Linked DNA regions of Callithrix jacchus. The protein of the gene in region 1 interacts with the protein of each later gene in a biochemical or structural test. Links are inferred from orthologs where the notes say so. Each region holds a gene or a part of one and is shown in the gene's direction. Other genes may lie near its edges.

Region 1 (3,747 bases):
TCAAAGTCAGGGTAGCTGCTGACTAAAACAAGCAGAAGGGACTCCTGGGGGGGCTGGATGGGATTTCACACTCCTTGCTCTGTAGCCTCTTGTGATTTACATTTTTTGGGGCGGGGGGACCGGGCGTAGTGGCTCACACCTGTAATTTCAGCACTTTGGGAGGCCGAAGCGAGTGGATCACCTGAGATCGGAAGTTCGACAGTAGCCTGGCCAACATGGTGAAGCCCTGTCTCTACTAAAAATGCAAAAATTAGCCGGGCGTGGTAGTGAGCGCCTGTAATCCCAGCTATTCGGAAGGCTGAGGCAGGGGAATTGCTTGGACCCGGGAGGCGGAGGTTGCAGTGAGCCGAGATCGCGCCATTGCACTCCAGCCTGGGCGACACAGCAAAACAAAAACATTTTTCTCGATCTGTTGTCCAGGCTGGCGTGCAGTGGCACAGTCCCAGCTCACTGCGCCTCGGCGTCCTGGGCTAAATGGAGCCTCCCTACTCGCCTCCCAAAGTGGTGGGATTACAGGGATGAGCCATGGCGCCCGGCCGTGATCTACATTTGATTTGTGAGTTTCTGTGTTTCTCACGACTATTATTTTTTCTTTTTCTTTTTTTTTCCCCTTCACCTCCTCCCCACTCTCTGTGTTTCTCAAGTTTAATCATAACGTGGCTAGATTCCAAAAGTCAGCCTCTGCGCTCACCCAGGAGCTGCCTCCCTCCTAGTAGGATGGAGACTCTCCTCCCCTCTCCCCTGGGCACAGCCCTTCACTCGATCCTGGCCCCGCCCACCTCCCCATCGGCCCTGCCCCCTATCCCGAACTCTTAGTGACGCCGAGGCTGGAGAGACTCTAAGCGGGACGAAGAGACGCTGGTTGAGGGGTTGGTACGAACTGCCCACGCGCTTGGGCGCTCAATGGCCTCCTTCAGTGTGGTCTGGAGGCGGCGCTGAGACGGGACTCACACTCTATAAAGGTGCGCACGCCCCGCTGGCGGATTACATTGCGGCAGTGACGTCACGTATGCCCCGCCCCGCTACCATCAGAGCCCCACCGAGGTAGGGCTGGCGGTGGTGGAGGGAACCGGGGTGGGCGCTTGCGTACTGGGGGCCTTTCCCCGCACCGACCGTCCTGGGCCCCGCCCCCGGGCGTGCGGCGCCCCTTGCGCGTGCGCGGCGTCGTCGGCGCCAGTTATTTCTGTCCCGCCCCTCAGTCGCGGCTCTTTCTGCGAGCAGCGCGCGGGCGAGCGGGTGTGCTTGTGGCGCGTGGTGAGGATTTCGGCGGCGGCTGGAGAAGCGCGGGCGGCGCCTTCGTAAAGCGAGCAAGCGGCAGCTGGCCGTGTCGCAAACAGCGTCCTGCGCGCGGTGGGCAGCAGCCCAGGAGGCGCGTGGCGGCGATCGGCCTCGCGGCGGCGGCGGCGGCAGCGGCCCAGCAGTTGGCGGCGAGCGCCTCTGCGCCTGCGCGGCGGGCCCCGCGCCCCTCCTCCCCCCTGGGCGCCCCCGGCGGCGTGTGAATGGCGGCCTCGGCGGCGGCGGCCTCGGCAGCAGCGGCCTCGGCCGCCTCTGGCAGCCCCGGCCCGGGTGAGGGCTCCGCTGGCGGCGAAAAGCGCAGCACCGCCTCTTCGGCCGCAGGCTCGGCGTCGGCCTCGGCCGCGGCGTCGTCGCCCGCGGGGGGCGGCGCCGAGGCGCTGGAGCTGTTGGAGCACTGCGGCGTGTGCAGAGAGCGCCTGCGACCCGAGAGGGAGCCCCGCCTGCTGCCTTGTTTGCACTCGGCCTGTAGTGCCTGCCTAGGCCCCGCGGCGCCCGCTTCCGCCAACAGTTCGGGGGACGGCGGGGCGGCGGGAGACGGCGCAGGTAAGTACGAAGTGGTCAGGGCTCCGGCCACCCCTCCCCCACTCTCTGCCTTTGATTCCGCCTGGGTGCAGAGATGAGGATGCCACCTGGGCTAGAGGATGGGGGCTCGGACAGGGCACGGGGAGTACTTCCTGGGTTCTGCATAGCAACGTGGGTCTGGGCCGGCCGCTGAGAATGGGACATTTGACTTAAGTTGGAGAAAAAAGGCTCGGGGAGGGGAGGGGCTGGCTCGCTGCGGGATAATGGTCGGGTGGGGGGGCGGCCGGCAGGGGGATGTGGCCGGCCATATCCTGGGTGGGAACTTGTAACAGTTTCCCACATCCCTGTCTCTCGAAGTGGTGGACTGTCCCGTATGCAAGCAACAATGCTTCTCCAAAGACATCGTGGAGAATTATTTCATGCGTGACAGTGGCAGCAAGACTGCCACCGACGCCCAGGATGCGAACCAGGTGCGTCCTACCTCAGCATCCACAAAGAGGTCTCTGCTTATGGGGAGGGGACATGTGGCCAGGAGGAGCTTTGCACCAGCTCCAGGCTTGTTAACTCCCCTTTCCCAAGGCTCTGGGTGGGCTGCCTAGGCTGGGTCCAGGGACCAATCTTGATCTCGGGTTGTATTTTCTGGAATGTAAATGTGGACCTATCAGGTTGTCTTGCTTTCTCTTATCTTGTCTTTATCTGGCAGTGCTGCACTAGCTGTGAGGATAATGCCCCAGCCACCAGCTACTGTGTGGAGTGCTCGGAGCCTCTGTGTGAGACCTGTGTAGAGGCACACCAGCGGGTGAAGTACACCAAGGATCACACTGTGCGCTCTACTGGTACATGAGGCTGAGGGGGCTATTGAAGTTGCTCTCCAGTGTGTCCTCAGCTGCTTTCCTAATGTTGGTTGCATCTGGTGGATGGGTTCTAGAGTTCTCTAGGGGGTGCCACTTGAAGGGCCTGAGGGCAGAACTCCAAAAGCAGGAAAACTGGGGTTGTGGTGTGTAGTCTTCTGGGTGTAGGTGGGAGGGAACAAGAACGGGAGACAGGGGAGACCTTACTGTGCTGCAGGAGGGTATAAAGGGTTTAAGGTTACTTATCAGGGACTTCTCAGTCTTGGTGGTGAAGGGCCCAGCATGTGCAAACAGGGAAAGGCATGGTGTGAAGGGCTTACTGGGTTAGTGGTTCGCTGGCACACATGTGGTACAAGACACTGCTAGGGAAAGTGAGGCTTTGTGGATCCATGGAGTATAAGTGATGATGATTGCTGGAAGTGTTTTAGGTTTGATTTGTCAGCGACTTACCCAGAGTTTGGTTTGGCATTTCCAGCTTTTTGTAGACATACACTAGCTTTGGTTTGGAAAGGAAATTGAGAGATTTTTGAGTCTAGCCCAGTTTTTGGCCTAGATTCCTTCCATGAGTGGCCTTTTGCTAGCCATACTGTGATTCTTGCCATCCCAGAGGATGGCATTGGTGGAAGATGGTGGCTGTGGGGCTTGAGGAACCAGGAGGGATAGGTAGGGGCTGCAGGGTGTCCTAGATTTCAGATGTTCCAGGCAAGGGTTAGGGTGCAGGAGTGGGTGGCATTGGGGAAGTCTCTTTCCCAGCTTTCGGAGGTTACTAATGTGTTGGTCTTTGAGTGGGATTATTCTGAGCTCCAAGATTCTGCTCAAGAGGGGTGTGTGACCACCGTTCTGAGGGTCCTGGTTTGACATTTCATCTTCCAGCACGAGAGGCTCTGCAAGGTTTTCTCTGGGCCCTTGGATTGTAAGAGATCCTGGTGTGGTCGGGCGTGGTGGCTCACGCCTGTAATCCCAGCACTTTGGGGAGGCCGAGGCAGGCGGATCGTGAGGTCAAGAGATCGAGACCATTCTGGCCAACATGATGAAACCCTGTCTCTACTAAAAACTGCAAAAATTTGCTGGGCTTGGT
Region 2 (3,747 bases), on another chromosome or scaffold:
CTGGGCATGGTGGCGCGTGCCTGTAATACCAGCTACTCAGGAGGCTGATGCAGGAGAATTGCCTGAACCCAGGAGGCGGAGATTGCGGTGAGCCGACATCGCACCATTGCACTCCAGCCTGGGTAACAAGGGCAAAACTGCGTCTCAAATAAATAAATAAATAAATAAATAAATAAACAAACGGCTACATAGATAGCTCATGCTAGAAAGGAAGGACTCCAAATTTTAACCAAGCGCAGATGTGCATGGAGGCCAAGTCCTTTTCCTTCCATACTCTCCTCATACTGACCCAACACACCCATTCTGTACGTGAGAAAACTGAGCCCCAGAGAAGGGAATTCACACACGCTTGAAGCCAAGCTGGGGCCAGAATGCAAACCAGCTGATCTCCAAACCCTCGTGTCAAAGGTCGTCTTCCCATGAGGACATATGCCTTAAAGGATCTGACAATCTATACCACCCTACAAGTGACGGAGAGGGGCAAAAACAACCGACTAAGGAGAGAAGCAAGGAGCAGAAAAAAGCTAAAGAAGAACTGTGAGAATGGTGTGCTTGTGAGGAGGGTGGGAAGGGAGCCGCCTCCTTTTGCCTCTCTTCCTACCCATTGACGAAACAGAACGGCTATCCAGCGTATTTAAGGGAGCTGAGTCTTAGCCAGCTTCATGTGTGTTTTAACCCTTAGCTAAATCTAGACAAGGCTAAGGCAGGCCAGGTGTACACTTGAGGCAGAAGTAAAAATTCCCAGTGCGGACCAAAACTGGAGTTGTTCGGGCGGTAATGATTTGAGGTCGGTTTGAAAGAGAAGCTGAGAAAGCGGCCGAGGGGCGAATTTGGCTGCACAACACGCCTGTGCCACAGAAGGGTACGGCCGCGGGCCGCCGGGGCACAGTTTCCTACCAGCTCAGGCGGAGTAGTAGACGCAGCTGCCTCCGCCCGCCACGTGACCCGTAGTGTTGTGGTCTGGCCCGCGTGGGTGGCGGGAGCGCCTAGAGGGCGGGGGTGGCGATGGGGCGGGTCACGTGACGGGGTTTAAATCTCCCGCAGCCGGAGCCGCGGGGGCGCCAGTGCCGCGCGTCAAGCGGGAGCAGAGGAGGCGACGGAGGAGGGCCAGAGAGGCAGTTGGAAGATGGCGGACGAGGCGGCCCTGGTCCTTCAGCCCGGCGGCTCCCCCTCGGCGGCGGCGGCCGAGAGGGAGGCCGCGTCCCCGCCCGCCGGGGAGCCGCTCCGCAAGAGGCCGCGGAGAGATGGTCCTGGCCCCGAGCGGAGCCCGAACGAGCTCGGTGGGACGGCCCCGGAGCGTGAGGTGCCGGCGGCGGCCGAGAGCTGCCCGGCGGCTGCGGCGGCGCTGTGGCGGGAGGCGGAGGCAGGGGCAGGGGGAGCGGCGGCGGCGGGCGGGGAACAAGAGGCCCAGGCGACGGCCGTGGCTGGGGAAGGAGACAATGGGCCGGGCCTGCAGGGCCTATCTCAGGAGCCACCGCCGGCTGACGACTTCTACGACGAAGACGACGACGACGACGACGACGAGGGCGACGAGGAGGAAGAGGCGGCGGCGGCGGCGGCGATTGGGTACCGAGGTGCGCAGGGTGCGGGCTGCCGGAACTGCGCATCCCCTCCTCCCTCTCCCGGGGATCTTCCTGGCGTGGGGTTGAGGGGGTCTCTGGGACGCGCCGGAGACTCGGGGCAGGCTCCGTGGCGTTCTCTTCCCCACCACGGCCCTCCGCTTAATTGCGCTCCTCCGGGGCTGCCGTTCCTGCTGCGGGAGCTGCGGGTGGATTCGCTTTTTCTCTGTCTGTGGCCGGCCTGGGAGGCCTTGCGCTTTGCGCAGCAGCCAGGTCGGGAGGCTCTCGCAGTCGCTTTAAAATAAGTTTTCTCTTTTCCCTCTTACTCTTTTAGCATATTGCTTTTGTTAGAGCTTTTTTTTTTCCCCCTTTTTTTTGGGGGGGGGTTGCTTTTTTCTCCCCGCCCTCCCCCCAGGACACTTAAGTCTGCAACTTTTTGCTGTCCCCGTTCGTCGGCATTTTCAATTACTTTTTGCAATCTGACACTTGTGCAATTTGCTTTTTTTTAGGGTCTATATTTTTATGCCTGAAATTACAATTTTTAAAAGAGCAAAGCTGTTTCTGTAGTCACAGCCTGCAAAATATAAAGAACATGGCTGTTCCTGAAGACATTACCATTCTGTAATGCAGTTAGTAGTGGGCATGGGAGAGTCATACTACTTTTAGAGCAGTTCGTATTACTTTTATTTTAATCTTGCTCTTGTGTACGGTGACGGTGTTGAGGCGAAGCATACTCTTTTGTATGTATGTACTGAGACACATTTAACATTGCTAGTATAATGAAGCAGATATGTTGCATTTGTCGTGTTTTTGAAGGTTTTATATTTTTCATCTGAGGAATTTCTATTTTTGAGAGGTGTTCATCTTTATCAATATTTGGGTCAGGCCGGGCGCAGTGTCTCTTTCTTGTAATCCCAGCCCTTTGGGAGGCCAAAGCGGGAGGATCTCTTGAGCCTGGAAGTTTTAGACCAGCCTGGGCAACATAGTGAGACCACCTTTCTACTAAAAATTTTTTAAAAAGATTAGCCGTGCATGGTGGTGCACAGTTGTAGTCCGAGCTACTGAGGCGGGAGGATCTCTTGAGCCCAGGAGTTCGAGGTTGCAGTGAACTATGATCGCGCCACTGCACTCCACGGTGGACAACACAGTGAGACCCTGTCTCAAAAAAAGTAATGTGTGCCTTTTTTTATTATTATTAATTTTTTTTAAAATATAGAGATGGGGTTTCATCACGTTGGTCAGTGTAGTCTCGATCTCCCGACCTCAGGTGATCCGCCCGCTTCGGCCTCCCAAAGTGCTGGGATTACAGGCGTGAGCCGCTGTGCCCGGTCAAGAGACCCTGATTTCAAGCAACACAGTTGAATGCTAATTTAATAATTGTGTTGTTAATACTGTTTATTATTTAATAGAGGAAACAATTCAGAGATACCTATGTTTAGTATTATATGAATTTAAAGTGCACTTTGCCAGTTTTATTTGAATGACATTTTTGTGTAAATTTCCATTTATTACAAGTTTCACGAACTCTATTGTTTGTGGTTGATACTTTCTATATGTTACTATCTTTTCTGTTTAAGTAGACTTAATTTATTTTTAGATTTTGGCCGAAACTTTTAGAGTCAGAGCAGAATTCCTAAATATGAAGAAACTGTACCTATGAGAAGTGCAAGCCGACCCCATAGCATTTACACATACAATATAAATGTTAAATGCTTAATGAAAATGATTACACTATAACCCTTTATGGGTCTTCATACATATTAGGTGCACATTGTTTTGGTAGTCTTGGCTGACTTTTGGTTTGTTTTGCAGATAACCTTCTGTTCGGTGATGAAATTATCACTAATGGTTTTCATTCCTGTGAAAGTGATGAGGAGGATAGAGCCTCACATGCAAGCTCTAGTGACTGGACTCCAAGGCCACGGATAGGTATGGCTCAGAGCTGTTAACTTAAGAGAGTAAATGTATGCTTTTTGTTGTTGTCCTTGTTGGTTTTTTTGAGACAGTCTCACTCTGTCGCCCAGGCTGGATGGAGTGCAGTGGTGCAATCTGCAACCTCCACTTCCTGGGTTCAAGCAATTCTCCCGCCTCAGCCTTCTGAGTAGCTGGGCTTACAGGCACCCACCCCCATGCCTGGCTAATTTTTGAGTTTTTTTTTTTTTTTTTAGTGGAGACAGGGTTTCACCAT
Region 3 (3,647 bases), on another chromosome or scaffold:
CTAGCTTATGAATGCTACAGTAGTAAGTGACATTTTGTCTGCCTTTTTTTTTTTTTTTTTTTAATCTTAGTGTGTATCCTTTTTGCTTTCTGTATTTATTTTTGACTTCCTCTTCATTTTGTTAGCCTTCTCCCTTTGTGGCAGTAGCTGTTTTGTTTTTCATCTACTATAGGTATCTAACACACTTCTCTCTATCGCAGTTTGTCTATATTCCTCCCACTATGATTCCTACCTTCTTTTACTGTACAGAGGTAGAAAGCTATTTGACTGGGCCCAGTACTCAACTATCTTTACTAATGAGAATCGTTAAGACCTGACTTGGAAATGGCATTCAAAACAGTCAGGTGTTTGCTGCACTTTTTTGTATTCTAGGGGATTTTTAATTCGTGTGTGTGTGTGTGTATGTACACCTATATGTTTGCATAGCTTGAAATGTCCTTTTGCAGTCTTGAGGCCTTTCTTGCATAGGTGTCTGCACACTCCATATGCCTGCATAGCTTAAAATGTCATTTTTTAGACTTGAGGTGTTGCTTTTTTGTGTGTTTCGGTGCTTTAGTTGTGGGATGACTGGGCAGTGGAGGTTTATCTTATTTTAATAACATTTGTTTTAAGGTGAAATTTTAAGATAGATTCCTTCTCAACCCATAGTATCTTCTGATTAACCATTTCAGGTTTTTGAAATTTTCCCCATTTTTAAACTTCTCATAACATGTCTTGAGTTACTGGAAAGAACTGGTTGAAGTTGGTCTCCTACTTCTCCTAAAGAGTGTTACACCAAAAAAAAGCCCCCAATGCCTGTTTAAAGTGAATTTGGTTGACTACCAGTTAAGATTTTCTCTTGAGAAACCCGGAAAGAATGATTTTTTTCACATTAGGTAATTAAAATGAATCTGCCATTTTGGCCTCTTGAAGTGACAGCTTTATAGGTTTGTTCTAAGTGGTAAGAAATAGCTATAGAGATTATGGAAAAATAATCTTGTCCTTTAACCCCCTTGTGGTCTCCATAGTTGACCCTGCAGTTGGTATCAGGATTTTGAACTGTATTTTCATTCTGCTGTTATATTTTCTCTATATCATTGGAGCTTTTGACATTAATATTTGATTTGAGAAGGAGGCTCTTACTGTCTGGGGATGTCTGTAAGGTCTTTCGTGGGTTCACCGAAGACCTGTCACTACTGCTTTCTTACCTGTATCATCCTTTAAGTACTTCCTACACAGTTGTTGCTGTGTTGTTAAAATGAGTGAAAACTCTAGTAAACTTGGTCTTGTGAGACTACCTAGAGATAAGACTTGGAAAAGATGACTATTTTCCAGATAATGTTTTTGATTGTGTTATTTTGGGTGGTGGGTCATAAGTTTCAGCTAAATCAACAGAATAAAGCGTTCTTTTATTGTCTGTTGACTTTTAATCTTTCCAGAAGGCCCTGGGATATAGAAGTAAAAATTTTTTGGGAGGCCGAGGCGGGTGGATCACGAGATCAAGAGATCGAGACGATCCTGGTCAACATGGTGAAACCCTGTCTCTACTAAAAATACAAAAAATTAGCTGGGCATGGTGGTGCGTGCCTGTAATCCCAGCTACTCAGGAGGCTGAGGCAGGAGAATTGCCTGAACCCAGGAGGCGGAGATTGCGGTGAGCCAAGATCGCACCATTGCACTCCAGACTGGGTAACGAGCAAAACTCCGTCTTAAAAAAAAAAAAAAAAAAAAGAATTAAAAATTTTTGTTGAATGTAATAATATAAGCAGTATAGCCTTGAAAATGTGCTTAAAACTCGAGAAGAATTTTTCTTAATTTCTCTTTTGTTTTATTTTAGCAAAAAATGGGAAAGAAACAGAATGGAAAGAGTAAAAAAGTTGAAGAGGCAGAGCCTGAAGAATTTGTGGTGGAAAAAGTACTAGATCGACGTGTAGTAAATGGGAAAGTGGAATATTTCCTGAAGTGGAAGGGATTTACAGAGTAAGAAACCTTAGTGCTTCTTTATTGTGTGTTTAACTGCAGCTGAGTGGTTTTAAAATGTTTTTAACCTGACTTTTACCTGCTTTCCCATAGACATCTTTAAATATAAAGACCCCTGTAATTTAGTTATCTTACAGTAAGAAACCTTAGTGCTTCTTTATTGTATGTTTAACTGCAGCTAAGTGGTTTTAAAATCTGTTTTTAACCTGGCTTTTACCTGCTTTTCCATAGACATCTTTAAATGTAAAGACCCCTTTAATTTAGGTATCTTATTTTAAAAAGAACCAAGATTTCATTGTACAGCCGAGCCAGACTAGAGACTAGTTTATTACCCTGGGGAGTCAAATTTATAAAATTACAAAGTGTAGTTTACTATGTAATATATTTTAATTTGGTTAGGTATCATACTAATTAGAATAATTTGCATTATTTTCCTCCACGCAGAGGGTACTAAAAAACATTGAAGCTATACAATATAGGCTAGTGGGTCTCATACAGGAGAGTACTCATAATCTAGGGTTTATACTAGGTTTATTATATCCTAATACCTAAGAATTAGACCCTGGGCTTTTTTTTTTTCTAAGAGATGGAGTCTCACTGTATTGTCCAGGCTGGAGTGCAGTGGCTATTCACAGGCACATTCCTACTGCTCATCATCACAGGAGTTTTAACCTGATCTGTTTCCTACCTGGGCCGGTTCACCCCTCTTTAGGTAAACTGGTGGTCACCCGCTTCCAAGAGGTCACCATATTGATGCCAAACTTAGTGCGGACCCCTGATCAGCATAGTACACTACAGCCCAGAACTCCTGGGCTCAAGCAGTCCTCCCACCTCTGCCTCCCAAGTAGGGGACTACAGGCGTGCACCACCGCGCCCGTCAAGGCTCGGCATTTTTTTTACCTCTCTGGTTCCTTGTGTTCTTTGTTATGAATTGCTCTCACTATTCTTGATAATTTTAGTCATTAACAAAATGTGAAAAACTTGAACAAGCAGAAATTACATACTTTTAACAGTTGTGTATGTTGTGCTTATCTGCTTGGTATCTTCCCCCTTAAACCACAAAGCTCCATAGGCAGTGACAATTAAAAATGGATAGGTGGAGATCAATTTCCTGAGCAGGCTAGAGATGGAGCATATGATAGTCAAATGATTGGGCTTCGCATATCTGTTATCTCCTGCTTCCCCTGCTCTTCACATTTAATGCATGGCAGTTTGGGAATCATGAGTTGAATAGGAGATTTAGGTTTGCCTGTTTTATTCTCCAGTATTCTTAGTTGAAATTCAGTATGTATCATAAGTACATACTTTTTTAAGCCCATGAAACATGAAAAATTATTTTTGCCCATCAAAACATTTGGAAATGGACGGGTTCTTCCCTCTTCTCCCAAAACTTTAGGCCACTAGCATGATTATACTGCACATGCCATGTGCAATGTAATAGGTAATGTAGAAGACTGCTTTCATTTTTCGTTTGTTTTTTTAATGAGACAGGAGTCTCACTGTAGCCCAGGCTGGAGTGCAGTGGTGCCATCTCAGCACACTGCAACTTCTGCCTCCCAGGTTGAAGCAATTCTACTGCTTCAGTCTCCTGAGTAGCTGTGATTACAGGCGCCCATCCCCAGCCCAGCTAATTTTTGTGGTTTTTTTTTTTAGTTGAGACAAGGTTTCACCATGTTGAGCATGCTGGT

The links.
Region 2: of the proteins of TRIM28 (region 1) and SIRT1, one has a biochemical effect on the other in vitro, tested with the Homo sapiens proteins (2 studies listed by BioGRID). The link is inferred for Callithrix jacchus from reciprocal best matches to the Homo sapiens genes TRIM28 and SIRT1.
Region 3: the proteins of TRIM28 (region 1) and CBX3 form a complex in vitro, tested with the Homo sapiens proteins (2 studies listed by BioGRID). The link is inferred for Callithrix jacchus from reciprocal best matches to the Homo sapiens genes TRIM28 and CBX3.

Annotation. Positions count from the first base shown.
Region 1 is NC_133523.1:51,179,361-51,183,107, forward strand, and holds the start of TRIM28 (transcription intermediary factor 1-beta), read left to right. Parts: upstream 1-1,197; 5' UTR 1,198-1,499; coding exon 1,500-1,839; intron 1,840-2,175; coding exon 2,176-2,288; intron 2,289-2,521; coding exon 2,522-2,654; intron 2,655-3,747. UniProt on the Homo sapiens protein: Nuclear corepressor for KRAB domain-containing zinc finger proteins (KRAB-ZFPs).
Region 2 is NC_133513.1:62,528,911-62,532,657, reverse strand, and holds the start of SIRT1 (NAD-dependent protein deacetylase sirtuin-1), read left to right. Parts: upstream 1-1,117; 5' UTR 1,118-1,126; coding exon 1,127-1,574; intron 1,575-1,617; exon of another isoform or gene 1,618-1,832; intron 1,833-3,371; coding exon 3,372-3,488; intron 3,489-3,747. UniProt on the Homo sapiens protein: NAD-dependent protein deacetylase that links transcriptional regulation directly to intracellular energetics and participates in the coordination of several separated cellular functions such as cell cycle, response to DNA damage, metabolism, apoptosis and autophagy.
Region 3 is NC_133512.1:31,895,078-31,898,724, reverse strand, and holds part of CBX3 (chromobox protein homolog 3), read left to right. Parts: intron 1-1,816; coding exon 1,817-1,959; intron 1,960-3,647.